Linked DNA regions of Canis lupus familiaris. Each later gene encodes a partner of the first gene's protein in a complex. Links are inferred from orthologs where the notes say so. Each region holds a gene or a part of one and is shown in the gene's direction. Other genes may lie near its edges. The genes, in order: CASP8, RIPK1 and ZBP1.

What was found.
Region 2: CASP8 (region 1) and RIPK1 share a complex: the UniProt entries of both Homo sapiens proteins name them as parts of the AIM2 PANoptosome complex. The link is inferred for Canis lupus familiaris from reciprocal best matches to the Homo sapiens genes CASP8 and RIPK1.
Region 3: CASP8 (region 1) and ZBP1 share a complex: the UniProt entries of both Homo sapiens proteins name them as parts of the AIM2 PANoptosome complex. The link is inferred for Canis lupus familiaris from reciprocal best matches to the Homo sapiens genes CASP8 and ZBP1.

The regions. Positions count from the first base shown.
Region 1 is NC_049258.1:10,243,235-10,253,464, forward strand, and holds the start of CASP8 (caspase-8), read left to right. Parts: upstream 1-5,539; 5' UTR 5,540-5,547; coding exon 5,548-5,852; intron 5,853-8,397; coding exon 8,398-8,503; intron 8,504-9,512; coding exon 9,513-9,651; intron 9,652-9,753; coding exon 9,754-9,798; intron 9,799-10,175; coding exon 10,176-10,230. UniProt on the Homo sapiens protein: Thiol protease that plays a key role in programmed cell death by acting as a molecular switch for apoptosis, necroptosis and pyroptosis, and is required to prevent tissue damage during embryonic development and adulthood.
Region 2 is NC_049256.1:4,682,120-4,692,249, forward strand, and holds part of RIPK1 (receptor-interacting serine/threonine-protein kinase 1), read left to right. Parts: intron 1-892; coding exon 893-969; intron 970-4,367; coding exon 4,368-4,464; intron 4,465-5,339; coding exon 5,340-5,906; intron 5,907-7,123; coding exon 7,124-7,267; intron 7,268-8,803; exon of another isoform or gene 8,804-9,013; coding exon of another isoform or gene 9,014-9,268; intron 9,269-9,858; coding exon 9,859-10,130. Other genes in the region: uncharacterized protein LOC100687285, read right to left, coding at 9,014-9,268. UniProt on the Homo sapiens protein: Serine-threonine kinase which is a key regulator of TNF-mediated apoptosis, necroptosis and inflammatory pathways.
Region 3 is NC_049245.1:43,327,267-43,337,396, reverse strand, and holds part of ZBP1 (Z-DNA-binding protein 1), read left to right. Parts: 5' UTR 1-148; coding exon 149-209; intron 210-2,833; coding exon 2,834-3,055; intron 3,056-3,658; coding exon 3,659-3,724; intron 3,725-4,130; coding exon 4,131-4,304; exon of another isoform or gene 4,305-4,771; intron 4,772-5,449; coding exon 5,450-5,614; intron 5,615-6,373; exon of another isoform or gene 6,374-6,682; coding exon 6,683-6,883; exon of another isoform or gene 6,884-7,811; coding exon 7,812-8,033; exon of another isoform or gene 8,034-8,139; intron 8,140-10,130.

The DNA.
Region 1 (10,230 bases):
CGCCCACCTCCCCTTCCACCACCCCTAGATCGTTTCCCAGAGTTAGGAGTCTCTCATGTTCTGTCTCCCTTTCTGATATATCCCACTCATTTTTTCTCCTTTTCCCTTTATTCCCTTTCACTATTTTTTTTTATATTCCCCAAATGAATGAGACCATATAATGTTTGTCCTTCTCTGATTGACTTATTTCACTCAGTATAATACCCAAAATGAGATTTTAATAGAGGTTAGAACTGATTTAAAACTGTAAGGACATTGGAGCTAATGGTGCTAAACAGAGCTGGACCTAATTTAGGTCCTTTCCAGCTTATGAATGAAATTGGGCCTTTAAGTAGTGATTTTCATTTAAATGTAAGTCCATGTAGGATAAATAATGCATGCACCTGGTAAAAATTCAAGGTGTCACCTTGAATTTTCTGCCACCTTTTTGGCCTCATCCACTCCAGCACTGGGCCTCTAGATCCTCTCTGAAGCAGCCGCTGAAGCAGCTGCCTGTGTATTGGTTCTATTCAAAGATCTGTGAATACACAAATCCATGCACCACTTATTAGATCACACAAATCCAATCATGACGATCTTCCTATGCTTTTTAAATATATCAGTAAAGTTTCTTTGAACTTCTCATACTGATAAACAGTTGTTTCTGCCCTTTTGTTCTTTCAAGCAATGCTGCCATGAAAAGCTGTGTACATGTTTTTAAGTACATGGCGCTTAACCTAATGTAGCAAAAACTCCTGGAAGTCAAATTGTGGGGTCATTTTATATTTTAACCCACAAGGCCAAATTACCCAACTGCCTGTTTTTATTTCCACCACCTCAAAACACTGTATTGCAAGTTTTGTACTTCACCAATCTGATAGTTGGAAAATGGTCTTTTGTAATTTCAAGTTGCTTAAATTTTTTTTTTTTTTTTTTGTGAATGAGGTTGAATATCTTTTCAAATCTTTAAAAGCCATTGGTTTCAAGAAATAAAGCCACTGGTACTTAACTTTTCTCTGAACTGTGTGCTTATGATCTTTACCTGTTTATGCATTGGATTATTGGTCTTTATCTCTTTCAAAAAAAATTAACTTACAAGAGTCTTATTTTAAGAAAATCAGTCCTTTTTCTACTTTTTCCTAGTCCAAGATTTATTTATTTTTAATGTTTGTTTGGCTTATTTTTGCAGAATATTTTAGTATTATTTAAGGGCATTTATGAACCTTTCTGTAATGGCTTCCAGGTTTTCTGTTGTACTTAGAAAGATTCTTTACCACAGCATGATTACTTTAAACAATTCTCCAATATTTCTTTCTTTAGTATTTTAATTTTTCAGGTTTGAATCTCTGATCCATCTGCAGCTTATTTTAACGCAGAGTTCAGTTATGATCCATTGCAGTTTGTTCTAGAAGTTTGCCCAATTGTTCTAACATGATGTGTTGAAAAATGAGGATAGCTCTTTTTTGCAGTGCATTCAGTTTGACTATTTTTCATTGCTAACTTCTAATTACACATTAGTTTCTAATTTCACTGTTAAATTCTTTTTTTTTTTTTTTTCACTGTTAAATTCTAAAGGAGAATATGGACTGGTACTATTTCTGTTGTTTGGAAATCTTGTATTAAGATTTTCTTTGTGGACAACTTTTGTGACTACTTGGTATGTGTTTGAAAGGACAAGTATTTGCTACTGGGAGGAAATTCTGTTAGAGTTTGTCACTTGTGCCACTTCGATCTTTCAGTTTTCTACTCGGTCTACTAGATTTTTTATTTTCGAAGAAAGGCGTGTGGAAGTTTCCTGTTATTTTCAGGGCAGATAGGTTTTCTGAGTTCTCTTAAATTCTTTTTTAAAGTTTAAATTCTTCTAATACTTTATTTTCTTTGAAGAACACAAATGTGGGGGCGCCCAGGTAGCTCATTCGGCTAAGTGACCGACTCTTGATACCAGCTCAGGTCTTGATCTCAGGGTTGTGAGTTCCACATTCGGCTACACACTGGGTGCCGGGCATGGAGCCTACTTAAAAAACAAAACAAAACAACACAAACAGTGTTGTGTTGCTTCTCTGATTTGGTTTCTTTTCCTGGTTGATGTGCCTGTGGTGTGTCATTTCCTGTTCCTCCTTCACTCACTCTCTTACACTAACCTTAAACCCAAGAACAAACTGATGTATTTTAACAGTAGTTTCATTTACACAGAGAATATCTGCATACATCCTTCTTACCATATTACAGGGAAAGGGCAACTCTCTTTCCTCACTCCTTTACCCCCTGGTTCTAGTTTTCTCCTTTATTCCTCGGAAGAAACTTTTGAATTTGGTATGTCTCTTCCCAGAACCTTGTTACCTTTTTATTTTCTGCTTTTGCATATGTATCTGCAACCACTGAAAATCTCGTATTGCTTTGAGTAATTTTTAAAAATAAACATATTTTAAAAAAATATTGTAATGTGGGGGTCCCTGGGTGGCTCAGTGGTTTAGCGCCTGCCTTTGGCCCAGGGTGCGATCCTGGAGTCCCGGGATCGAGTCCCATGTGGGCTCCTGCATGGAGCCTGCTTCTCCCTCCTCCTCCTCTCTCTCTCTCTCTCATAAATAAATAAATCTTAAAAAAAAATATTGTAATGACTTTTTCTACTTTTTTTTTTTTACTGTCATAATAACACATCTTGGATAGCTATCATTTTTATTTCAGAAGATGGAGTGGATTTTCTTAACTGCTGCACAATATTCTGTAGTACGACTATACCTTAGTTTATTTATTTTTAATAATTTTTTTTTTTTTTTTTTTTTTTTTTACGATAGTCACACAGGGAGAGAGAGAGAGGCAGAGACACAGGCAGAGGGAGGAGCAGGCTCCATGCACCGGGAGCCCGATGTGGGATTCGATCCCGGGTCTCCAGGATCGCGCCCTGGGCCAAAGACAGGCGCTAAACCGCTGCGCCACCCAGGGATCCCGACTATACCTTAGTTTAATCAGCCATTTCTATATTGACGGACATTTGGGATGTTTCCAGTTGTTCAGGGTTGCACATTGTGTGGTGACAGTCCATGCGCATAGTCTGTTTAGTACATGTGTGTTTCTATGAAATGTGATTTAAGGAATGAACCTGCTAGTTTGCCCCCTTTGATGTCCAGTAGGTTTTGCTTGCTACATTTTGAACATATGCCGTTAGGTGATAGCCACATATTTAAGATGCCTTTTCTAAATAAAAGTATTTTCATGATAATTGGTTGCTTTTGTGAAAGATGTAGGCTCTACAGCCTTTGAGAACCCCATACAAAGTGTATCTTTCAAGATATTTCCTTCTAGTTTCCTAAAGCAAGAAAACGTGTCTAAACAATGATGTATGCTCTAGATTAAAAGGGGAAAAAAAGGTTTTGTTCCATAATTTGGCTTCTAAGAGGGAAATAATCAGAGATATGCAAAGGATATGTGAAAAAGCTTCTCAATATTATATTATTTTTAAGAGTAAAGGAATTAAAAATCCCTTAAAATAAATTTTGCTATATTTGCATGCTGGAGATCAAGAAATATTAAAAATGTCCCAAAGAATATTTAATGGTAGGGGTAAATGTTTGTTCTAAATATTAAGTGGGGAAAAATAGGTGTACACAGCTGGATATGCAGCCTGATTCTAATTTTTATATGAATGCATCTTTGCATGCACATGCATGTGTGTGTGGTGTATGATAATGATAACTGAGACCATGTTATGATTTACTGTATTTTCAATTTTCATACACACAAAAAAACACTGCTTCTATAATCAGAGTGGGCAAGGGAGAGGGAAGGTGTTTTTTTGTTTGTCTTTTTAAAAGGTTTTATTTATTTATTCATGAGAGACACAGAGGCAGAAATAAAGGCAGAGGGAAAAGCAAGCTCTCTGTGGGGAGCTCAATGCAGGACTCCATCCCAGGACCCCCAGATCTTGTCCTGAGCCACAGGCAGATGCTCAACCACTGAGTCACCCAGGTGCCCAGGAAGGTGTTTTAAAAGGGAAAACTACAAATTTTAAAGTCTTTCAGGGTACTTTTTGAAAATATTAAAATTTAACCTTTATGTGCAAATCAAAAATATTTCTATTTATTTATTTATTTATTTACTTACTTATTTGTTTGTTTAGAGAGATAGAGCCATGTGTGCAGGGGAGGGTCGGGGTGGGGAGGGACAGAGGGAGAGGGAGAGAGAATCTTAAGCAGGCTCCACTTCCAGCACGGAGTTTGACGCAGGGCTCAGTCTTGTGACCCTGAGATCATCACCTCAGCTGAAATCAAGAGTCAAACTCTTAACTGACTGAGCCAACCGGGTGCCCCTCAAATATTTCTATTTTAACATTGGATATAGAAAATACATAAGTCCTGGTTCACTTGATCATTACCTCAAGTAATAGAATCAGGACTTGTGTTTTCATCCAAAAAATGTTAGCCAGTGCAGGGAACTGCCTCTAGAGTCAGGTGATCCTGAGGCCTTTGGGGTATAGCACTGCGGCGTGTCTTCCCAGCACCATTGTTTCAGTCAGATCCCATTCTTTCTCTGGCCTCTAGTCCTTTTGGCCTATCCTCCACACATATTTTTAAATTTTAATTTAAATTTTTTAAAAAATATTTTACTTATTTGAGAGAGAGAGAGCAGGGAGAGGGAGAGCGAGTGAGCACGTGTGCGGTGGGGAGGAGCTGAGGGAGAGGGAGAAACAGGCTCCATGCTGGGCAGGAAGCCTGATGGGGGGCTCTACCCCAGACCCTGAGGTCATGACCTGAGCGACAGGCAGATGCTCAACTGACTGAGTCACCCAGGCATCCACTTTTTTTTTTAAAGGGGTTTATGTATTTATTTGAGAGAGCCAGGTCACACAAGAGAGAGCATGAGTGGGGGGAGAGGCAGAAGGAACTGGAGAAGCAGGCTTCCTGCTGAGCAGGGAGACAGACCAGGACCCCAGGATCATGACCTGAGTGGAAGGCAGATGCTTAACCCACTGAGCCACCAGGCGCCCCTGTCCTCCACACTTTTCATGTTAATCCCAAACTGGATGACATTACGGTCCTTTCTGAGTTCCCCATCACCTCTAGGGTAAAGCCTGAGCCTTTGCCCTACAGCATGAGGCCCTTTGTAATGGTTCCTGGCCACAGCTTCATCCCTATTGCCACCACTTCCCCTCCCAGACACTCATGGTTACTTTGTTGGGCAAATTGTGCCTGCCTGAGTTGACTTGAACATTCTCGCCTCCATCTTCCACATACATTTTTTCCCACCTCCTTCCCACAGGTGCCTGCCATCCAGGAGGCCCTTTCCCCTGGCTATATTCCTACTGTGCCCTGGTTAACTCTCGAACCATTGGCTAATTTGTATATCTACCTTCCAAAATAGTGAGCTACTCAAGAGCAGAAACCTGTCCTATTTGTTTAGTTTTTTGTTTTGTTTCTTCCCTGTGTCCTCAGTAAGACATCTGGTGTGTAGTAGAGATAACAGCACTTGATGAAGGAATAGACCAGTAAATGGTACTTCTCTTCCTCATCTGAACATAATATTGTGTTTTGACCTAGGTTAACAACTACCTCGTCCTGACACTTGACCAACATGGATTTCAGCAAATGCCTCTACAATATTGGGGAACAGCTGGACAGTGACGAACTGGCCTCCCTCAAATTCCTGAGCTTGGACTACATCCCACAGAAGAAGCAGGAGCCCATCAAGGATCCCTTGATGTTATTCCAGAGACTCCAGGAAAAGAGAATGTTGGAGGAAAGCAACCTGTTCTTTTTGAAGGAGCTGCTTTTCCGAATTAATAGACTGGATCTGCTGATGACCTACCTGGACACCAGCAAGGAAGACATGCAGCAGGAGCTTCAGATACCAGGCAGAGCCCAGATCTCTGCCTACAGGTGGGGAGGATCTCCACGGTTCAGGCACTGGGAGGCGTGGGTGCAGTGGATGCGTGTCTGTGGGCAGGGCTGCTTGCGGCTGTCTGTGTGGTATGACTTTGGAAGTTCCTTGAAGATGTCCCACCAGGGCCAGATAGAGAAATTTAGAGAACTTGTATATAATTCAGTAAAAAAGTGAAGGCAGAAAATTAAAAAAAAAAAAAAAGTGTTTCCAAAGTGCAACGTTACCTGTAGGTGTGCTAAAATTAGAACAGTCGTCTGCTGGATGTTCTCTCTGTCTACCCTTCTGTTGCCTCTGCTCGGTTGATGTCTACATCGCGCGCTTACTTTGCTTATTTCTGGATGAAGCATCGCCCCTGCTTACCTGAAATCCCCCTCCACCTGCTTGTGGATGACTATGGAAACGCTCAGTGGGGTTTTAGGTTTTTATTTCACACTGAAAAACTTGCATCACAGTGTCCTCCAGAGAGAGGGATGTGCGGCCAGTATCCTGGACCAGCCAGGCTGTACCCCACAAGGACTGCCGAGTCCCTGGGGGCCCAGCTGCTGCCAGGAGAATGGTGGTAACTTCAGTCATCTGTCCTGCCCAACACCTTGCAGCTGGGTCTCTCCCTGCCTGTGGGATAGCGGGTACCCAGGGGTGATAACAAGCCATGTTCTGTTACGTTTTTATGAATTGGTAACAGATTTCTTTGTGTGTGTGTGTGTGTGTGTGTGTGCAAAAAGGTGATTTTATTAAAATATGGGCAGAAGGGGCTGCATGGGGTGAGTGATCATATATATAGGTAATAGACTTTAAAAACAGAAACACACTACCAACTTCTGTCTTTTAACATGCCCTGTTATCAGATACTCCCTAAAGTTATTTTTAGCTTCCCTTCTGAAAACTTCTACTCAAGCCTTAGCTGTGGCCCATTTCACCGGTCTCTTCTTTCTTGTCAATAATGATGGCATGTGTGTGACAGTAAGTCCTCACAGCCAGGGCTGTGAAAGCCACTATCCTCTACTTTTGTGGCCTATTTTTAAAAAAGATTTTATTTATTTATTCATGAGAGACAGAGAGAGAGAGAGAGAGAGAGAGAGAGGCAGAGACACAGGCAGAGGGAGAAGCAGGCTCCATGCAGGGAGCCCGATGTGGGACTCCATCCTGGGTCTCCAGGATCAGGCCCTGGGCTGAAGGCAGCGCCAAACTGCTGAGCCACCCAGGCTACCCTAGCGTGGCCTATTTGTGAATATAAATGTCTCTACCATGTTAAGCTGCCCAGTTTGTGGGACATTGTTACGGCAGCCTTAGGAAACTCATACACCCAGGACATCTCTTTTGCCACTTAAAATCAAAATTCTCAAGAAGCTCTAAGTAGAGAAACATATGATAAGGAACATGCCAAATCTTGGGTCTCTGAGACTATGGGCCAGGACATTCACGAATGTTTTTGTGTTGTTATTTTCCTTTACATAATAGTGGAAGGTTTGCTAACTTATTGAACTTTCCTTTGCTCCTTCAACAAATGTATCTCAAGAACTTATCATAGATGAAAAAATAATAATGCCTGTTGTGTATTGAACACTTAGCGTGTTGCCAGTTGGCTTCAACACGTCAGATAAACTTGTTCGTATTATTCTTAATATGTCCCAGTGGTATATAGTATTATCTACAAGTTTACAGATGAGGGAAAAGAGCGCATAACACGTCCAAAGTCACACGGCTCTGAGATGATGGAACCAGAGTTCCGAAATCAGTAGTCTAGGCCCCCTGCACTTACATACTTCACCTCGTGACCCCCTGGGCTTATGGAAACAAAAAGGGCACGAACCCTCCTCTCAAGGGGCTCAGAGGGCTTCCAAAGCAGACAATTACAACATGTATGTAAACTTTCTGGGGATACAAGGCACCGTGGGGTGAATGCATTCTCAAGCATACTCGGGCGGGACTCAAGCTTAGTGGGTGACTCTGTGTCTGCGGATGGACAAGGGAATGGGGATGTGAAAGCATAGATAAAGGTGGGGACAGGACAGCTGGGTGTGTTTGGGGGGTGGAGGGGGACTGGTGGTGAGGAGTCGCTAGAGAAGCTGAGGGGGTAGGCTGGACTCGCTGCACAGAGGTCTGTATTCCGGAACTGAGTGTTGAGCCTTCCTGTGGAAGTTGACAGCTAGGAGAGCGCTAACAAGTTTTAATCAAGGAAGTGATGATCCAGTTTGCATGTTGAAAAGCATAATTTCCAAAATAAAACTTTCATTTTTTTCTACTGCAATAAGTGACTTTATAGTGGAGGACCAAGGAAAAACAAAATTCATCTCACTGAAATTAACTGTGTGGCATAGTCAGTGGAACTGCAAATTCTGTTAAGGGTGGAGCATTGGGGCATGAGTCAGTAGTCTGTTATGTCCCTGCAGCAGCCTCTTTCCAAAGATTCAACTCATAAAGTATGTCATTAGCTGTCTTTAAGGAGTGGTGACCAGAATCAAGTTTCCACTGCAACTCCTTTTGTCAAATGGGAAATTATCTGAGAAGCCATTTCTAAAGTGTCTCCATTTCCCACCACAGGGTCATGCTTTTTCAGATTTCAGAAGATGTAAGCAAATTGGAATTGAAATCCTTTAAGTTTCTCTTGAGCCGGGAGATCTCCAGATGTAAATTGGATGATGATTTGGTAAGCCCTGGTGATGTTTCACCAAGATCTGGTCCTGAGGTTGGGCCAGTCAGTGGGGACTGCTGCGACTGGAGAGAGGGCTGGTCCAGTAAAAGCAACCTGGACTCTCACTTTTTAACTAGGGGAAAGGAAAATGTTGTTGGGCCCCAGTGTTGCAGATACAATTCCTTTGTATACTGTGAAGTACTGCTCACATTAATTATCAGGAGCAGGGCAGAGTCAGTAGCTCGGAAAGAAGACTGGTGGTGGAAGCATAGCCCAATGTGGGGAAGGACTGTGGTGAGCTGGAGACATCTTCCCACTTCTGCAGTCTCTGAAACCACCTGGGACCTGAAACTCTGTATATGTGCATGTGCGTGTGCATGCATGTGTGTACGTGTGTGTGTGTGTGAGTGTGTGTGTGTGAACGTGGGACTGGAGGTGGATCAGGGACCAGAGGCAGTGTCAGGAGAGACGCAGCTCCCAGGGCTGTCACTATGGGGACCAGGCTACCTTGTCTCAGCCATGCACCTCAAGCTGTTTCACAACTTCACCTAATGGTGTCCATGGCTGATTTCAGCACAGGGCTTGGGGCCTGGGTGACACCTGATGTCACTTTTCCTCTACCTTCTCATTTCTGTCTTCTTGGGCCATACAACACAGAATTGCTTCACTAGTGCTCTACTGGCTTTATAAGACTGGGATGTCCTGTCAGGAGGGTTAGTTTGGGAAACTAGAGTAGGCCCTCTGTTTGGAGAAAGTGGAATGAATGAATGAATGAAAGAAAGAAAGAAAGAAAGAAAGAGAGAGAGAGAGAGAGAGAAAGAAAGAAAGAAAGAAAGAAAGAAAGAAAGAAAGAAAGAAAGAAAGAGAGAGAAAGAAAGAAAGAAAGAAAAAGAAAGAAAGAAAGAAGAAAGAAAGAAAGAAAGAAAGAAAGAAAGAAAGAAAGAAAGAAAGAAAGAAAGAAAATCTAATCTAAAAACCAGTATGTCTCAATCCAGTCTTCCAACTTTACTTCTCTTCCTTCTAGAACTTGCTTGATATTTTCATAGAGATGGAGAAGAGGGTCATTCTAGGGGAAAGAAATTTGGACACCCTGAAAAGAATCTGTGACCAAATCAACAAAAGCCTGCTGAAGAAAATCACAGATTACGAAGAATTAAACAGAGGTAGAAATAACTTGACTACTGTGAATTAGCAAAATGTATTCTTAAATTGACAGATCCCTCTGTCACAATTATTTCTAATCAAATGTTTCTTTTTTAATTCAGAGCAAACAATGAACCTTCAAAGAAGTCTAGATGAAATTTCAAATGGTAATATGAAATATGTTAAGACTTATTCAGTTAATTTATTATCAGATACCCCCATTGCTTCCTCTCCCCACAACCTTCTATCACGTCCACATCTTAATGGACGTGATACCTACTACCAAGTAGGCGGCTTGGTGCCTACTTGTCACTCTCTACATGTTGAAAGATACACAACTATTGTCAAAAGACATAGGCCTTCAGCCCCAGGCTGACAAGTTTAAAATAGGTGAAGAGTTAGTAAAACAATTTTTATTCTGTGGACTGCAAGGATATTATGTTCAAGGTAGTCCATGAATTTTCATTTTAAAGGGGACCTTATGGTATCCTTGGTGCTATGTGTTTCTTTACCAAAATACCCTCCCTTCTATGTCTCATTCCAGATATGTCTCAGTTGCCTATAAGGGAGGGATCCGTGAAGATATTGCCAATGTCGGA
Region 2 (10,130 bases), on another chromosome or scaffold:
CTATTGGCCCTCTCTGACATCACCGTGCTGGGGGTGTTGAAGTACCCTGTTCCTGTCTCATGAGGTTGGAAATCTTAGCTCCCTACTTGGCCTTTGCTGGTAAGGTTGGGGGTGGAGCCACAGTGTTTTCTGTGATGTTTGGCTGGAGAGTGGTTATTGACTAAAAGTCTTTTGTCTTGCTAGGCTACCCTTTGCTTAGTCCTTTGGCTAGAAAAAGCAGGCTTTTGTTAGGATTTTGTTGTTGTTGTTCGGTTGCCAGCTTCCTTAAGTGCAAGTCTGGGATCTAAGAGGCAAAAAGAAATACTAGTGAACTCATCGCCATGTCTCCTCAGATCCCAGAGTCCCTAGTTTGTCTGCCTTTGTCTTTCCTCCTTTCATGCTCTTTTTATGTTTGTTTTATGTGTGATTTTATAGGGGTTCTTGTGCTTAGAGGGAGAAATAAGGAAAGGTATGTCTACTCCATCTTCTTGAAAGTGGAAGTTGCCTTTTTCTTTTAAGGCTAGCAGCTTTGAACTCTTTATATCAAATCCCTATTCTGAGTGTTCTAGCCTATAATCATTTTGATACCAGAGAGACCAAAACAAGGAGTTGTCCATCCCTATTCAGTTGGAGATTAATTCATAATAAATTGGGCTTTGTGCTGCAGTTGGAGAAACATGCTATTAGGCAATATTTCTTGGTTTCCAGTGTTGCCTTGTCCCTTCGTCTGTCTACTTAGTTATTAGTCTTATTAGTCTCTTCATATAAGTCAGTGATTTGGCATTAAAATTTTTATTTTACTGCTTTGTCCACAGATTAAGGTAAGTAATTAAAAAATAATAGATTACTGGTTATTTAAATTTTAGTTTAGAAAATACCTAAGAAATTTAAAGTACTATTTTTTTTTACATAGGCATTGAAGAAAAATTTAGGCCTTTTTATGAAGATCAATTAGAAGAAAATGTAGAAGAAGATGTGACAAGTTTAAAAGTAGGTAACATAGCAGGTACTCAAAACATTAACATATCAAAGCATATGTATTACCAGTTTTGAAAACCAAAGCAATATAATTTGTTACTAAGATTTGAGGTAAGCTAGCTTGGTAACCACATGAAACAAAATTAGCAATTCTATACAGATAACCATCAAGTTGGCACACTGGACCCATTCCTCCATCAAAACTAATGAAATGAGAGAAATTATATATATAGCAATGTGGAAACAAAAGCACAACCTCACTGGAGTAGAACGGAAAGTACCATAGGAGGATCAGTCATTTTGAGGAATTCTTGGAAGCCAACAGAATTTTATTTCCTAAGACCTATAACAGAAAAAGAAAATGCTAACCCAAAACATAATGCTGAAGGAGTACTGGAGGAACAAGTCTATGTCCATTTGTAGAAGAAACAGCATAGTCAGCTGGGGCATTGGTGTAAGACTGTCACTTGGGAACCATGCTTGTGCCAGTTACAAAAGTTGGCTCCTCCCTCTGAGTCCCTTGTGCTGTGCAACACATGGGAGCAGCATCTTCCTCAACCTGAAACAGTGAATTTGGTCTGGGGACTAGAAGTATATCAAAGGTTATTACCAGCCAAGTAGCCAAGACAAACAAAGACCTTCCCTACACACACACTTAGGAAACAAGCTGCTGGCACAAGTACAGCAACATGCTGCTAGATTCATGAGGGGAAGAACTACAGTCAATAAAACAGGCAGGCATATGGAGATTTCAAAATGAAGATAAAAACCGGAGAGGCGAGAATTACCAGACTTCTGAGGGATACCTATACTATAAAAGGAAAGGTATCCAATGGAAACCATGCTTGGGCATCAAAAGAACGTCAGGAAAGAGAGTCACTAGGGATAAGTCACAATAATCAGAAATATATCATAACTATAAAAAGTTCAACTCACCAGGAAGATAATAACAGCTTTAAATATGTGCATGCCCTTAATAACATGGTCTCAATATCAAAACCAAACTTGATAAAACTCAAAGGAGCAAAAGACAAATTCAGAATCATAGTTGGAGATTTTAATATACAAATTTCTCTTTAACTGACAGAACAAATAGACAAAAAAAATCAGTAAGGATATAGGAAATTTGAAGAACATGATTAACATTTGACTGAATGGAAATATAGAAAACACTGCATTTAATAACTACAATAGGCTTTTCAAGCACATACAGACATACTTTAAAATTGACTGTGTCCTGGGAAATAAAACAGTTCTCAACCAATTTTAAAAGGATTATAATCATATTAAGAATTTTCTCTGATTACATTTCAGTTATGCTAGAAATTAATCTTAAAATTTAAAACTCTCATGTGGTTAGTAAAGAAATATATTTTTAAATAGCCTGTGGATTAAAAAGGAATCACAATGGAATTTAGAAAAATTTTGAACTGAAGACTAACAAAAGCACTACATATTAAAACAAAATGCAAATGTGACTAAGAAAAAAACTTAAAGGAAATACCAAAATGTTAATTTTGTCCTTGGAGTGAAGGCAGAATGTGTAGGTTTTAAATATAATTCTGTACATTTTCTATATTTTCAATAATGAGTGGTATCACTTTTATAGCAAAAAAGAGTTTCTTTTTCCTTTTTTTTTATTTTGGTAAAATACACATAACATAAAATTTACCATCTTACCTTTTCTTTTTTTTAAAAGATTTATTTATTTTAGAGAGAGAGCGTACATGCATATGTGCATGGGGGAAGGGGGGAAAGGGGGAGAGAGAGAGAGAGTCTTAAGCCGACTCCAGGCTGACTGCAGAGCCTGACACTGGGCTCCATCTCATGACCCAGAGATCACGACCTGAGCCAATACCAGGAGTCTTATGCTTAAGCAACTGCACCCCTCAGCTGCCCCACCATCTTACCCATCTTTCAGTGTAGAATTCAGTAGCATTAAGTACACTCACAGTGCTGTACAAACATCACTTAGTGTCCATTTCCATTTTTAAATATTCCAAACAGAAACTCTGTGCCCATTAAACAACTGTTCCCCATTCCTCTTCCCAGTTCCTGGTAACGTGTAATTCCACTTTCTATGAATTTGCCTCTTTAGGTACCTTGCAGACGTGGGGATCAAACAATATTCATTTTTTTGTGTCTGCCATATTTCACTCAGCATAATGTTTTATAGGTTCATCCATGTTAACATGTTTTAAGAGCTTCGTTCCTTTTTAAGGCTGAGTAATTCTCCATTTTCTGTGTATATCACAGTTTGATTATTAATTCAACTGTGATGGATACTGAGTTGTTTCCACCTTTTATCTGTGAACATTGATGTACAATTTTTTTTGAGCTCCTCCTTTCAATTCTTTTGGGTATATACACGAGTGTAATTGCTACATTGTATGATGATACTATGTTAAATTTTGAGGAACCATCAAATTGTTTTCCATAAGGGTCCTACCATTTTACATTTCTGGGTTCCAATTTCTCTACATTCTCACCAGCATTTTTCATTCTCAGGGTTTTGTTTGTTTTGTTTTTTAAATGATAGCCATCTAGAGTGTGAAGTCGTGTGAAGTAATGTATAACTCATGGTGGTTTTGAAGGATATTTTCCCAATGATGTTGAGCACTTTTTCATGTACCATTTGTATATTTTCTTTAGAGAAATGGCCCTTTGGCCATTTTTGAATTGAGTTGTTTGTGCCTTATCGTTGAATTATGCAAATTCTTTATATAATCTGGATAGTCATCTCTTATCAGAGATATGATTTGCCAGTATTTTTTTCCTATTCTCTGGGTTATCTTTTCACTCTCTTAATAGCGTCCTTTGATGCACAGAGGCTTTAATTTAGATGTACTCCAATTTATTTATTTTTATTTTGTTACCTGTGTTATTGGTGTCATGTCTAAGAAATTACTATCAAATTGAATGTCGTGAATCTTTCCCCCTATGTTTTCTTCTGATGTTTATATGGTTTGAGCACTTCAGCTTCAGTGTTTGGGTCCATGTGAGTTAATTTTTGTATATAATAAAAGTAAGGGTCCAACTTCATTCTTTTAGGTTTGTATCCAGTGTTCCCCCATTGCATGGTTTGGCACCCTTGTTGAAAATCAGTTCACCATATAAGGGTTTATTTCTGGATTCTCTACCTTTCATTGGTCTATGCCTGTCCTTAGAGCAATACCACACTGTTTTGATTACTGTAATCTTGTAGTGAGTTTTGAAATCAAGAAGTGTGAACCCTCCAAATTTATTCTTCTTTTTCAGGATTGTTTTGGCTATTTGGGGAAAAAAGATTTATTCCTTGTAAGAGCTATATGAAATCTCTACCTTTTGAAAAGATTTCATTTTTCTATAATAATTTTTTGGAACTATTTTCTACTGTTTACTAAAGTGTACATTTATGCTGTCAATTATAGAAAGAGTATCCAGACCCAGCCCAAAATTCAGTTGTGAAGAGAATGCAGTCTCTCCAGATTGACTGTGTAGCAACACCTCCAAGCAGGTCAAATTCAGGTAACATACTATGATTGAAAATAACGTATTCACTTGTTTGTTCGTGCATGCACTCTGTTCTCAAAAATACTCTTCATGAACATATAAGAAACAGAAGAAGCTATAAAATTTAACTCTTGCCTTAAAGGAATCTATAATATATTTAGAATGAAGATAACATATATTTGAAATAGTAAGTAACAGGGTGTTCACTAAAATCATAAAACATCCTGAACATAAGAGGCCTAACATATATCTGATAGGGAGAGTGTAAGGGCTCAGGATAAAGAGGGGACATATGTGGAAGCAAGGTCCTTGAGGTCAGGGATGATATCCAGAGAATTAGCAGAGAGGTTGGTCTTGGATTCAAGGAGGGATACTTTTTTCATTTTCACAAAAGGAAAAACAGAGTATAGGATATTGAAGCCACTTACTAGCTATCTGTTCTAGGGCAAATTAACCTCTTGTAAACCTCATCCCTCAAATCATAATATAATTGCTCCTATTCTTACAGGGCTTTTAGAGAATAAAAGAATCCATGGAGAGTGCTTAGCACCAAGCTGCTCCGGGTCTTATTTTCCAGCCCTGCACCACACCAAGGACACAGCCACCTTCTCTACTAAAGACCAGTCCCTTTCTCCCTTGGTCATTCCTGTGACACTCATGTTGCCATTGCCTGTTAACATTTCTCTAGTGCTCTCTCACCACCCTGCAGGGGCTTCCACAAATTACTTACATATTTGTAGGAAGAGGACCATCAAGTCAATGCTTTTTTTATTTGCTTGCAAAGGTTGCAGTATGTTATTCTGAGACACAGATGTGTGGCAGTGCCCAGGTTTTATTTTATTTCTTGTTGCTGTCTGAAACTCTTTCCAATGTTGATCATTTCTCCTCAGCCCCAGAACAGCCCAGTTCGCTGCACAGTTCCCAGGGACTGGGGATAGGTCCCGTGGAAGAGTCCTGGTTTGCTCCCTCCCTGGAGAACCAGCAGGATGAGAACCAGCTCAGCTTGCAGAGTAAACTCCAGGAGGAAGCCAACTACCATCTTTATGGCAGCCGCATGGACAGGCAGACGAAACCACTCAGACAGAGTGTGGCTTATAATAGAGAGGAGGAAAGGAGACGAAGGGTCTCCCATGACCCTTTTGCACAGCAGAGACCTTATGAAAACATTCAGAACCCAGGAGTAAAAGGCCTTCCTTATTCTATTGCAACCAGTCCTGGTAATGCAGTACACCAGCCAAAGGGGCTAACCAGCCAACCCCCAGTAAGGTACTGGAACAATGAATTGTACAGTCCATTCAATTTTAGAACAAGACCACTGGCTCTGGGAACAACAGGTTCAAGAGTCTGGTATCAGCCAAATCCAAGCCATATCCCAAGCGTGAATAAAACTCCAGTGCCGGAGACCAACCTACTGGGGAACACGCCCACCATTCCATTCAGCTCCTTCCCATCAAGAGGTAAACAGTTCTTTTTAGCTATAATCTTTTTTAAATGTTTCTGAAAATAAAGCAGCTATTAGCTCTGATGTAGACTCTAAGGTTACAAGGGTGAGTTGTTTATAGTCTTCAGCTGCCACATGCCGTTTGCAGCCATGGACTAGTCTCCATCAGAGCACTTGGCTTTGGTTTGAGTAGGATTCATTGCAGCTACCCACAGGTGTTGGGTTACAGGTCCTTGTAACCAGTGGGTATCTTCTGCTTTAATCTGCATCACAGTGGTCCCATTATACCCAATCGCTGATGGGTTTGTGTTCTTTTACTTGCTTGCTGTTTTCTGAAGGTAAGAAAGAAGTCTTGGATATTTTAATTCTTATCTTATATCGGCCAAAGACTGCATTGGTGAGGAAACCATAGTGTTGGGCTACCATCACCACCATTTATCTCTGGAACTCTTTTCATCTTCCCAAACTGACACTCTGTACTCATCAGACACTAACTCCCCATTCCCCTACCCCCAGCCCCTGGCAACCACCATTCTTTCTGTCTCTATGAATTTGACTGCTATAGGGTACTTGATATATGTGGAATCATACAGTCTTTGTCCTTTTGTGACTGGCTTATTTCACTGAACACAATGTCCTCAAGGTTTGCCAATATTGTAGCATGTGTCAGGATTTCCTTCCTTTTTTTTAAGGCTGAATAATATTCCATTGTCCGTACATAACACATTTTGTGTATCTGTTCATCTGTTGGTGGACCCTGAGTGACTTCCACCTTTTGGATGTTGTGGATAATGCTGCTGTAAACATGGCTATATAAATATCTGTTTGGGGCCTTGCTTTCAGTTCCTTTGAGTAAATACCCATAAATGGAATTGCTACATCTTAGAGTAAGTCTATTTTTAATTTTTGAGGGAAGTCTATTTTTAATTTTTGAGGGATCTCCATATCATTTATCACACCATTTTGTATTACCGCCAGCAGCACACCTTGGTTTCAGTTCATCCACATCCTTGCCAACACTGTTACTTTTTTTTTTTTTTTTTTTATAGTAGCCATTTTGGTGGATGTAAGGTTAGTTCAGCTACATTTTGAAGAGGAAAATTTCAAAGACTGTCATAGGATAAATAATTTAACTTCTATATCTAGAATAAAGCCCTGTCCTTTTACCATGTTGTATTTATTTCTCTTGCTTTCAACCTAGATTTACTTACCTGTGTGTTTCACTCTATTCAGATGAGTCTGTAAAATGTACCATATACAACAGTTCTGGCATTCAGGTTGGAGAGCATAATTATATGGAGGTTGGTGGAATGAGTTCAGCCCTGCTCGACATGAACGTGAAAGAAGAGCCAGCTTATAAGTACCAAGATATCTTTGGTAAGATGCCCTTTAAGGACACATTTTCTAGCAACCTTGAACTTTATTGCTTAGAGGGATATAGTGGAATCCTGAAATTTCTCTGATTTATTCTCCCTGACAGTTGACCCATGTTTTCTCTGTAAAATATCTCTGTAACTTCGATATAATCCGTTGTGATTTATTAATGCTTAATATGGGGATAATTACAATATCTAACTCATGGATTTGTTGTGAAAATTATCATCAATATGTATAAAGAGTGTAGAACACTGCCTGGCATGTAGTTAAGATCTGTGAAAGTACTGAACATATCATCAATATCACTATTCAGACCTAGGAGAGGTATCTCCCTCAGGTCTTCATCAAAAGTGATTCTGAAAAAATAGAAGACTATGCCCTCAACAGCACCCCTGTAATAAAAACAAGAGAGCTTTCTCTTATGGGCTTTTAACTGTGCAGGCTCAAAACATTAATCCCAAAACACAACCTGGGAATCATAGTCATGAGGCCAAATCAATGGGATTTAAGAGCCCAGCTTTATGTTTAACTCTAGGATTGGCAAAATGTTTCTATCAAGGGCCAGATAGAAATTATTTTAGGCTTCACTGGCCCTGAGATCTCTGTTGCAACTACCTGACATTGTAGTGCAATAGCAGCCACAGACAAGATGTACATGAATGGACATGGCTGTGTTCCAATAAAACTTCACTTAACAAAACGAGGCAGCAGGCCAGATTTGACCCACAGGCCATAGTTTGCCAATCCCTGGCCTAATCCATTTGAAAAATAGTCTTTAACATTCTTAGAGAGGAGGTTCCTAACTTTTGGGGTGACAAAAGTACCTTGGAGGATCTGATGAAACCCAGGGTCCCTCTCCCAGAGGAACTCACAAAACTAGGCTAATATCTTGGAAGGTTTTTGGACTGCTGATGTCCTTTGGTGATAACAGAAGCTGCATTGTGGGGAGCTAAGGAGAGGATGGGAGTTGAGGGGGGGGGCAGAAATGAGATGTCTTTTTCCTTATATTCAGCTTATTGAGGTAGGTTGAAGATCAAGGAAAATGTGTGTGGTGGTGATGGTAGTTTTATACTTTAGTTTACTTTTGTTATTTTTTTTAAAAAAGATTTTATTTGGGAATCCCTGGGTGGCTCAGCGGTTTAGCGCCTGCCTTCAGCCCAGGGTGTGATCCTGGAGTATCGGGATCGAGTCTCACGTCGGACTCCCTGCATGGGGCCTGCTTCTCCCTCTGCCTGTGTCTCTGCCTCTCTTTCTGTCTCTCTCATGAATAAATAAAATCTTTAGGAAAAAAAAAAAAGATTTTATTTGAGAGAGAGCACCTGAGCAGGGGGAGGGGCAGACATGCAGTCTCCCCGTCAAGACCAGAGCCAAAGGCAGATGCTTAGCAGAGCCACACAGGCGTCCCCTAGCCGTACTTTAAATACTTGGATGTCAAGGGCCATTTCTATCACTGCAGAAAGTTCTATCAGACAGTGCTATGTGAGATCTGACAGGAGGGGGATTTCAGTACTTCACAAATCAGAACACAACAGCAGCTCAGCTGAAAGGTGTCGCATTTATTACTGAACCAGCCTACTGGTATAGAGGCATAGGAACAGACAAGAACGTTTCCTTAATAAGACATGTCTATTGGCCAGGTAGGAAGGGTGTTTCCATATTGACAGGATAGGAACATGTGATCTCCATGCAGCTTAAATATGTGTGCCAATTATATTTGCTATTTCATGATGTGCGATGGATGCTTCCTCATAGACCCAGCTTGGTTCTTCTCCAGTGCCTCCTCTTGGAGTTGTACCTGATTTTATTACCAGTTTTCATCCGAATCCACTGGGGAATGGGACGATTCTGCTTTTGTTTCTTGGCCAGGAATCGCTTGATTCTGAAAGTCTTGTGAGAAGACATGGCGGTAACAGTCAACCACACGCAACCAGGATAGCGGCTCCTTTTGTTATTTTTATGAAGGCCAGAGAGGAAGGAACCAGTTAGAAAGGGAGGCTGTGGCTGTAAGAGAAGAGAAGACGGCACTTAGAGGAGAGTTGAGTCCCAAAATAGACCTGGAAAAGTAGATACCTCATTCTTTAAAAGACAAGGGAAGGCATTATAATTGCAGGAGTTCACACTTGATGGCCTCAGTTTCCCTAAGTAAGAGGAAAGTAGACCATTGGGTGCAGGGGATGAGGAGTTGAATGACCCTGATTCTGGCCAGGTATGTAGATGATGCCAAAAGGAACAAAAATAGTATTTTCCCTCTTTGTATCAGGAAGGTCTGAAATTAACCAGGGCCATTGGCTAAGGTCATAGAGGACAGCCTAGAAGCCAAGCAGAGCTTGTATTCCCAAAGCCACCAGCTGTGGCTCAGAGATGCATCTGCTAGGAGGTAGAGGTTCTCTGCTGTATTCATATACACACTGCACATGGGCTTCCAGACATGTAAAGGATCCCCTAAGGAATGAGTCCACAACTATGTAATGAAGTTTTTTTTGTTGTTGTTGTTGTTTTACCGTCTCCTGATACTGTCTCTACAGGTTTTTAAAACTAGAATGTTCAAATGAGTTATAGTTTGATGCCTTCTTATCTTTTCTGTTTGGCAGATAATGTCACTAGTCTGACTGATAAACATCTGGACCCAGTCAGGGAAAATCTGGGAAAGCAATGGAAAAACTGTGCCCGCAAACTGGGCTTCACTGAACCTCAGATTGATGAAATTGACCACGACTATGAGCGAGATGGACTCAAAGAAAAGGTTTACCAGATGCTCCAAAAGTGGCTGATGAGGGAAGGCAATAAAGGGGCCACGGTTGGAAAGCTGGCCTATGCGCTCTACCAGTGCTCAAGAATAGACCTTTTGAACTATTTGATACAC
Region 3 (10,130 bases), on another chromosome or scaffold:
GAACAGCAAACACCCACCGGCTGCCGCCTCCTCTCACAGCTGCCAGAGTCCAGCCGGGCAAGGGCTCGCTGCCTGCACCAGCCCATCCCCTCCACGCCGCGGGCAGAGCAGGGGCCGCGGCTCCAGGCCTCCAGCCGCTGCCGCCGGGATGGCCCAGGCTCCGGGCGACCCTGATGAGAGAGGTACTTCTTCCTCCCAAGGAACAGCAGGTGCTCCCGGGGGGGGGGGGGGGTGCACCTCTGCCCAGCTCCTTTCCTGGGCTAGCTGACAGCAGTGATGGCCTGCGGGGTCCCCAAGAGGGGCCCCGAGAGTAGAGGGGAGCCCAGGGCCTGGTGGGGAAGGCAGGCTCTGCCTGGGCACCTGCCAACACCCTCTGCACGCCTTTTAGAAGACCTTGGCGGGCAGCAGGGGGGACACACGTGATGCTGTTTCCATTTTATACATGAGATTCCTCAGGCCCTGCGAGGGGGACCCGGGGCCTCGCAGCTGATGCTGGGGTCCGAACACCTGTCCTCACACTCATTTTAAGAAATAAGAGAAGCTGCTTTGCTTCACTCCCGGACGAATAACCCATAAAAGTGAGCCGTGTATGGGGCCAGGGCTGTGTATTCTAGAGAGCCTGTGGGCTGTGGGCCACATGTGTGGGCTGTGGGTTGACGATGGCTCTGATTTGGGGATTTTTGGTTTTGCTATCACTAGCTGGTTTACTACTCACTATAATCTTTGAGATAGCTGCTCCGATCCCCACTTCACAGATGGAAAAAGTGTGGCACGGAGAGGTCACATAGCCGGTGGATGGCAAGGGCGGGGGCTCAAACCCAGGAGAGGTGCCGTCAGAGGACAGAAAATAAGTCAAGGGGTGGCCTGGGGAGGGGTGCCATCGGGGTGCGCCCAGGGCCTGGGCAGTTTCCCCGGTTTCTCTTCTGCTTCTCCAAGGGGGAGGTGCAAGTACTTGTTGCTCAGTGCCTGAATTTAACTTCTCCCTCTGAGGTTTTCCTCTCCAACCTGTCACTTACACGTCGTCCAGTTTACAACTTCCCATTTACAGACGCATCAGCCTGAAGACTCGGCGCGCGAGGCCAGCCAGCCCTATGGGCTTGGCCCTCACTCTGGTCTCTGAGGCACGACCCCTCTGCTCCTTTGGGGTCGGTGGGGGGGGGGAATGGAGGAGGAGGGAGGGGAAGGCTCACCCGTGGGCAGGCTTTTCAAGAACCAGAACTCTTTTCAAGAGGAGGCAAGCCAGGCTTGCAGTTGATTGGATGGGGATCCCCGGCTGCTGGGGGTGAAGGAGTAGATGCCCCCAGGCGTCCTAACTGCACTTCACCTGCACCCAGCAAGGATGAACATGTCCTGATCATAGGGCAAGCCTCAGAGCCCAGCTGCAGAACCAGCAAATAAATGCCTTATCCCTTCCCCCACTAAGGGAAAACCCAGAAGGCAAAGGATCAGGCTGCTGTCCCACCAGGTGCCCCAAGTCTTCCCTAGAAGGGCCCCACTTTGCATTTCCCTCTGGGCTCTTGGGGACAGACATTTCCTGGTAAGAGGCCGGGCTGCCGGGGGGGGGGGGGGGGGGGGGCCCTCCAGCTCCTCAGGCACTGTCTGTGCCCTGTTCTCCGCTCCCCAAAGAGCTGCTGGCTTGGATTTGTGGGATCCTGTCTGATTGGAACGGAGGCGTTCAGAGAGCTCCTGGGATTCTGCTTAGGGTCATTAACCTCAGGTGGAGAATTAGAGACCTAGTTGCTGTCCACGCCCTGCCCTGGGTCGTCTGGGCTGACACCTGTCCCAGTGGTGAGCAGATCCACTCAGACACTCATTCATTCAAATGCTGTTTCCTGATCGTCTACTGTGTACCCAGCACTGAGTTAGACACCAAAGATACTACAGTGCACCAGGCAATCACAGCAGGGGAGCTTGGAGACATTCTGCAGCCCCCCCTCACACACAGGGCACCCCGATCACTCAGGGCACCTAGGATGGCTCCCCAAGAGAGATGGTGTTTGAGTGAGGTGTTGGGCAGGTGGAGGTTGAGGGTTGAGTAGGTGTTGGGCAGGTGGAGGTGGGGGGGGAGAGTGTTCCTGATGGAGGGAACAGTGTGTGCAAAGGCCCAGGAGTGAGTGGGCTGGAAGGAGCACACGGCTGGCTGGTGCTCGGAGGGAGGCTCTGGCTGCCGAGTGGAGGGTGGGCTGGAGGGATCCCGACTGCAGTCGGGGGAATAGCTGTGGTCACGGAGGTGGTGTACGGGGGGAGGCACAGAGGGGAGAAGATGGGATCCCAGAGAGCCAGGCACCATGTTCTCAGGACTCTCCATAACCCGGCAGCAGGGAGGAGGGCCTGTTTCTGAGCATCTTTAGCTTTCTGGCTTGGATGGATAGATGCACCACTGGCGTGGACGGTGAGCCCCCGAGGAGGGGCAGGTGCTGCAGGGAGGCGGGGACCACAGGCCTCCCTCGCAGCCACTTGGCCTCCTCCCTCCCTCCCTCCCTCCCTCCCTCCCCTTGCTCTCCTGCACTCAATCTACCCCACGCTGCCACCCTCCGCTCCCTTCTGCTCTGGGACATCTGAGGCCTGAGCATCCCCACCTCACCCTCAAGCGCTCACACCAGGCCGAGGATGCTCGGGAGGCTGGGGCACCTCCTCTGGTCACCAAGGTCATTTCTGACCAGCATATGTGTCCCTCCCTGGACAGCCGTGTTGTTAGCGTCTGCTCGGGTCTCTGCCCCTCCCTCTGGCCTGGACCCCTCACGCGGGGACACCTCCCTGCCTCCGAGTCCCCGCTCCAGGCTCGATCCAGGGGAGAATCAGTCCCCTCTCCGCCACTCTCTCCTCCTCCCAGACCTCGAGCAGAGGATCCTGCAGGCGCTGAGGGACGCCGGCTCCCCCATCAAGTCCATCCAGTTGGTCAAGGAATGCCAGGTGCCCAAGAAAAAACTCAACCAAGTCCTCTACCGGCTGATGAAGGAGTCGAAAGTCTCCCAGGAAGGCCCGGCGACGTGGGCCCTGGGCACCGGCAGGATGGGAAGAGTGGTGCCCGCAGAGCCGGCCCAGGCCAACCAGGGTAACCTGCTCCCCGGGGGAGGGGCGGGGCACCCAGGCGAGCAGCCCTGGCAGTGGACAAGCAGGTCCGGGCCCGGGTTCGAACATGAGCCCTGCCGCTTGAGGGTGCGTGGCATCCCCAGGCCGTGCCTCGTAGGTCTGCAGCCCAGGGCTGCAAGAGGGTGAGATGCGGAGGGCGCAGCCTCTCGCCTGCACACAGCAGGCGCTCAGCAAAGCACTAGCAATAACACTGTTGGCCAGTGCAACCTAGTGGTGACAACGGAACAGACTCGGCTTCGCACTGGGTCCTCCTTCATAGTTCTGTAGCACAGAGACCAGCAGAGCTGGCGCTTGTCAGGTGCTCCCGGTGGCCGGCGGTGCCCGCACACAACCTGGACGTAGGTAGGTGGCCCTCTTCCTCTTCCCCCGGAGACGTGAGTCCGCAGCTCAGCTGCACAGCTGGGGAGCAGCGGGGCAGGTTTGGAGGCAGGTGCGTCTACCTGTGGACTCCGAGTCCAGATCTCCCACGCGCTGGGGGCCACCATGGGGCGGCCCACCGTCACCAGCAGAGTCCCCGTACCCTCTGCCGCCCCCCATAGCCCCTGACCCATCTTTCCTCCTCCAGCAGGGAGGTGCCAGCAAGACATAGTTGCAGTTCCAGAGGAGCCCGGCCTTCAGCTCACTGACCAGCGTAAGCATCCCTGCTTTCCCCAAACTCTCCTTGGCCACTCGAGATGTTACTCTTGCCCCACCCACCGGAGGCCCCCACAAGGTGTCCAGGGGCGAGACTCAGTCTGCACAGTGGGAGAAGCTAAGTGGCTGAGAAATCCTCTCTCTGACAGTGGTTGGCATCCCTCGTGCACCCGCCGTGTGCCCAGTGCTGTTGGGAGCGCCGTACGCTCACCTTAGAACATCCTTAGAACAACCTAGTGCCTTAGAACAACCTCTGCGGGGTGCTAGTCTCACATCCCACAGTCTTCAGATGGGGAAACTGAGCACAGGGGGTCTGGGGTTGCCCAAGCTTACACAGCTAGCCAGCAGAGGAGCAGATTCAAACTCCAGGGCCCTCCCTCCTCATCCACCACCCTGCCTCCCAGAGGAAGCCATCTACAGGTTTCTGGAAGCCCATGGGCCCTGCAAGGCGCTGAACATCGCCAAGGGGGTGGGAAAGAAGATAGCGAAAGACGTCAACCGCGACTTGTATGATATGAGGAAGCAGCACAAGCTGGACTTTGATGAGAAGACAAGTACATGGGCAATTTATCAACCAGGTAGGTAGGTGCTGACCTGCTGCCCATGCTTGGATGGGGCAGGGCTACGAAGAGAAGCTGCAACATCTAACGCTTGGTCCTTGCTGGGCGCCCTGCCAGGCATTTTGCCAGCTCCACCTTCCTCTTCAGACCCTCACAGTAGCTTGCAGCGGTCTTGCTAATGGGTCACTAAAAGGGGGTACCAGGAGAGCGGGTGTGCTGGTGGGAGTAACCAAGGAGGGCTTCCTGGAGGAGTGGCCTAAGGCTGTAGTTGCAGAAGGCAAAGGGCTGGGATAAGAGGTGTTCATAGGATGCGGAGCTCAGCTGACACAAAACTGTTAGCACTTTGTCCAACTTGGAGTTTGGAAGTTGCAGGAAGAGAAGGCTGGGCTCAGACACCCGCAGGGTGGGGTCCCAGGTGACTTGTCCATCAGGCGCAGCAGGCACGGGGCCTGGCATCAGAGGTCTACAAAAATGTTCTAATTTCTCTTAAAATCAGAAGAAAAAATGAGTATTATAATAACAGTGAAGAGTTAACCGTGACTCCCACCTAGATTGCATTTGTCTTTATCCCCACAGTGTCATAAAAGGTAATTTTGAATATTTTTTTTAATGGAGGAAGGGACCCACAAAAGCACAAAAGGTGGGATGTGGCTCTGTGTGTGGAGCCGGCAAAGCCCCAGGCAGGTGCTCACCCGGCCCTTGAGATGACGCACAAGCTCACAGCGCCCAGGCGGGGCTCAGCATTGCGGGCGTGATAGCAACCTGTGACGGTGGCCAGGTTTAAACACTGGAGGAAAAAAAATCTAAATTCTTAAAAAATGCCACATGAGCCCAAACCAAGCTGCTCTGGTGGCCAGAAACAGCCCATGGACGGCCACCCTGCAGCCTCTCCCTCTGCTAAAGGAGAGGGGTCCTGGGGCTCAGTGGTTAGGGGAGGCCTCTGACCAGGGACAGAAGGTGAGCAGCAAGGCACCCAGGATCCCCCTGGGGTGGCAGAGGACACACGAGTAGGTGACCTCTGCGGTGACTTCTAAGCAGGGCTCATCTGGGCTCCTCGTTGACCCGCCTTGGACCCCCTGACTCCGCGCCCCCGTGGCGAGCACCTGTGCCTTAACAAGCTCTGCAGCAGATTTAGAGGGCTCGAGTGGAATATGATTTTGCAGATTCGAGAGGAGGAAATCGGGCCACCGCAATTATTTACCAGAAAAATCCAATCAACATGATCTGTCAGAACGGACCACATAACCACATTTCCATTGACAATTCTGAAAACATCCAGATTGGACAAGGGAACGTCATGGTGAGACAGGTGGCCTCTGGGGAGAACGGTGAGTCCCTTGACAGACACCTGCCCCCTGGAGGGGTATGTGCTCCAGCTGGGTGGGAGCAGGGAGGGGGGCACTCAAGCTCCGAGGACACAGGGCGGCTTTCAGATCCTTCCTGAGAATGAGGACGTCTTCCTTCATGCCTGGATCAAACCTCTCCTGCTTTCCCTTCACTCTGATACCTTTTGCCTCGCTTCCAATGCGACCTGATATTTTGCCTTGAGAAACAACTCAGGGTTCCCTCAGTAGAACATCTCGAGGGGTCACTGTAGTATTTTGTTTGTTCTGAGACATGCCCTTCCCCCACATTTTAACATCTTAGAAACTGGGCATAACCAGTGACATCCTAGTTTTGTCAAAATCCAGCCCCGCAAAGGGGTGCTTACTCCCTGCCAGGCACTGGGGCGGGAGGGGACAGGGGCCAGCCTTGGAGCACAAGTGACAGCACCAGCTCGAAAGCTAGAATACCCCCTGTGACCTCAGGAGAGCCCTGCCCCTCACTCCCACCCCCCACCCCCCACCCCCCACCCCTGACTCTGGGGTTCAGTTTCCCCAGCAGTGAAGCCAGGAGCTTTGTTTTAGAATCTAGATCAATGGTTCCCCATCCTTCGTCCTCTGGGTTCCACATTCCCCAATTTGGGCCGTGCCCATGTCTGATTATTTACTTAATATTATTAAACGATTTACCTTTGTATTCTACTCAGATTTATCTTAAAGTTTAGGTTACTAGCATTGTCTTAAGTTTAAAACCAGGAGGCTTACCATAAAAATAAATACCGAGAAGAGAAAAGGATGTCAAGGCTCCGAATGCTCACGGCTGAGGACTCATGCCCAAGGAGATTGGCCCTAGGGAGCAGAGGCTGTGCTCGCTGACTGGGTTTCTGGGCACCCCAGGGACATCCCAGGCACCAGTCGTAAAAACCCGGGAGACACCCCCCTCACTGTTCTGCTTCCCCATCAATAGTCTGAAACACTCATCCCCAGTCCCTTAGAGCCCACAAGGAATTCAGAGGCCTGTCTCCCAGGGGAAGTCAGAGGGCTCAGAGGTCACGTTGCCGTGTCCCCTGCCAGGCTCCATGGCTCCCCTCCCTCCCGTGATGCCAGCTGATCCCTCCACTCAGGGTTCCCCAGCTGCAGCCTGGGGACCCCAGGACATCCACTTGGAGAAGACTATGCTCAGACGGGTACAGATGGGACATGACAACATGATGAACCTCAACAGCACGCCAACCAAGGGCCCTGCCGCCTGCAGCCCCTTTGGCAGCTCCTCAGGTACCCCACCCTGCCCTCACCCCACCCCATTCATCTCCTCCCTGGGCAGAACTTGAGCTGGCCTTGGCAGGGAGAGAGGCACGATGGGAAATTCCTTTCCTTCCACCTGGAGGCTGTTACGCTGTAGAGCAGGTGGGGCTGTAGAGTCATCTCTCGGGATCCTGTGTCCTCATCTGTATGACAGGCAGGGGCCAGCCAGAGCAGGGTCAGAGGAGATGGCCAGACTGGAATGGCATCTAAGGAGGATACATCTAAGTACCTGGTGACCCACCAAGTGCTGTCGACAGTGACCAGAGAGCCCAGGCCAAGTCCTCTTCAGCACTGGGAACCCAGAGACAAGCTGGGGACAGAAAACAGCAGGGAGACCAGGGAGGCCGGGGACACCAGGAGGAAAGTTTCCAGAAAGGAGAAGCCGATGAGGTCAGGGAGCTCCATGGGGTCCAGTAAGAGGGGTCCGAGACAAGCTGGGGGGACAGAGGAGTAGGAGGAGGGGAGACTGCACAATTCTCGTCCGAAGTTTGCATGGGAAAGGAGCCAGGTGGCAGGGGCTGGGGACCGGCTATGGCTGCGCTGAGGTTTTAACCAGAGAGGGAGATGGTATTGCAGGGCTTCGGGCAAACCAGCGGCACGAAGGGAGCAGCCAGTGGCGGGGAGGTGGTGGGGAGGTGGCCGAAGCCCAGGGGAAGGGCCTGTGAAGAGGTGGCACTCAGGCTGGCTGACCTGGGTGGCAGAGAGGGCCGGCAGCCCAGGCCATGTGCAGAGATGCTGAGGGGGGCAGGGTTTTGGCCGTGGGCCGAGTCTAGCCTGGCTTCAGGGAGGAGAGTTGGCCGGGGAGAACTTGGAAGCCAGGCTGGGGGTCAAGGCTCGAGGCCACCATCCAGCTGCCCGTGCGGCCCCTCTGACATCTCTGTCTTTGGCTGCCCGACAGCCTTTGCCACCCCTGGTGACACAGAGGCTTCGTTCGAAATTCGAACACCCAAACCAGGACCTTCCTCCGAGGGGGATGTGGCCCAGAGAGTCCACATCAGTTCGTGCATCCTTGAGGACACTGCCATCGGCAACAGCAACAGAATGACTGTCAGCTCAGGGACAGATGGTCCAGGAGGAGTTGCAAGGCCTGAGGACGCTGGGGAGCCAGGCAAGGATGCAGGTGAGCCTGGGGCAAGGTGGGCCCTGTGTTCCCTCCCTTTCTCTCTCATCCACCCATCCACCCACCCGTCTACCCACCAGCTCATCCACTCACCCATTCATCTATCCATCCATCCATCCACCCACCCACCCACCCACTCACCTACTCACCCACCCGCCCATCCATCCATCCATCCATCCACCCACCCACCCGCCCACCCACCCATCCATCCACCCGCCCATCCATCCATCCACCCATCAATAGTCATTCTCGAATCTCCCATTTCCCGGAGTCTGGAAAGCAGTAGAGGATCACAGCAGAGAGCAGCCCAGGAGCTAATGTGTGGGGTCCAATGTTTTTAGCCTAGTGACCTAGTCCAGCATTTAGCTCTGAGCCTCTGTTTCCCCATCTGGGGCATGAGGATGATAATTGCCCGTAGCTCCTAGTTGTGACGAGGACTGGGTGAGCTGTGCAGGCAAAGCCTCGGCACTGTGCCTGGCCCTGCGTGTGCCTCCAGGCATCTGATGCGTCATTAACATTGGTGTTATTTGAGGCCTCATGGGAGGTGCTGAGGTGCCACAGTGAGTGAGGCTCTGTCTCAGGGAGAAACTCACTTGCTGCAGCAAAGAGACCCCTACCCAGAGTGGCTCCCACCTGCCGGAGGCGCAGCCCACATGCAAGGGGGGCAACCGTCAGGGCTGGCGGGAGGCACAGACCCGGTTTCTTCCAGCTTGGTCCTGGGCCATCCCGAGGGCTCTGCACTCACCCATGGGCAGAGAGGCTACGAGGGCCGACCGTCCCCCTTCCACCAGGCACACCCACGCTCCTCATCTCAGCCCAAGGACCTGCACTTGGCCTCAAGAGGAGCTGGGAAATGTCACTGGAGCCCAGCTCCCCCTCAGGAGGAGGCCCCATGGCCAACAGGAGGACACTGGGGGTGCAGTTAGCCACCGGGCCGCAGCTCCTGCCCTCTGGTGGTGGAGCCAGGTGACTCCAACTCTGCTGCACAGGCAGGAGCAAGGTGGTGGTGGCAGGTGGGGGCTGCATCCTGCGGGTGGACGAGTGTGTGCGACAGGGGAGACCAGGACGGTGGGTGGACAGAGTGCGAGTGTGACCCATGCGTGCTTTGAGGATGGCAGGGGCCAGAGCACGGCTCCAGCCAGGGCGGGACTTTGGCATCTATCCCAAGGCTGGCGGGGGTCGTGACCAGGACAGGGTGTGAAGGGACTTCTGCCTTCCGTGTGACGGCGGGACCGGCCCGAGGATGCAGGTCCTGACTCTCTGGGATTTGCACAAAGGAGTCATGCCAGGCCCCCTGTGGTGAGAAAACCTAGCCTGGGGACCCAGCCGGCATCCACCGGCCGCTGCCCGAAGGCCCGTGGACATTTGTGCTGGACGCCGAGTGTCCTCCCATCCTGACGGCCATGACCTTGAACTCCCAACAGCAAGAGTCCGGAGAAAGAGGGCGCCCTTTTCCCCTCTTCCCAGAAACCTCCCAGGAGGCAGGCGGGGACCCCGGGGTCATGGGCCCCACCACCTGGTCTTAGGTGGGACCAGCCAAGACTCCTCTTGAAGGGAAAGAAACACAGCCCTCTGCTTTTGAAAAATCGTCGATGCCCCCTCCCCTGTACCCACCCCCCCAGGGGCTACGCGGTGGCGCCGACGTGGCCTTTCTCACTCCGCACCCCTACCCACCCTCCTCGCTGGGCTGAGCAACACCTAACTTCTTACTCAGGTGATGGGCAGGACCCCATCCTGAGACCTGTAAGGCCCGGCAGGTTTTCCTTTTGGGGGAAATGATGGGTCAGGGTCTGTCAGCACTATACAGTGTGGCACCCTCTTCGGGGTCCCTGTGAGCTGAGGCACCTGGACAGGTGGCCCGCAGGGGTGCTGGGGGCCCTCAGCTGCCCACCTGCCCGGCTCACTGCTGAGACACCCCGATGGCACCGGGGACACGACTCTGGGGGCCTAGTGCAACACGGAAAAGTGGGGTTCCTGATTCCGCCTCATCGGAGTTTCAAGAGCGGAACAGAGCTTTGCACTGAGCGCAGGGTCCCTCTGACTGTGGGCTCAGGCCACGTGCCCGTGAAGCTGGCCCTCCTTGGGGTCTTCTGGAGC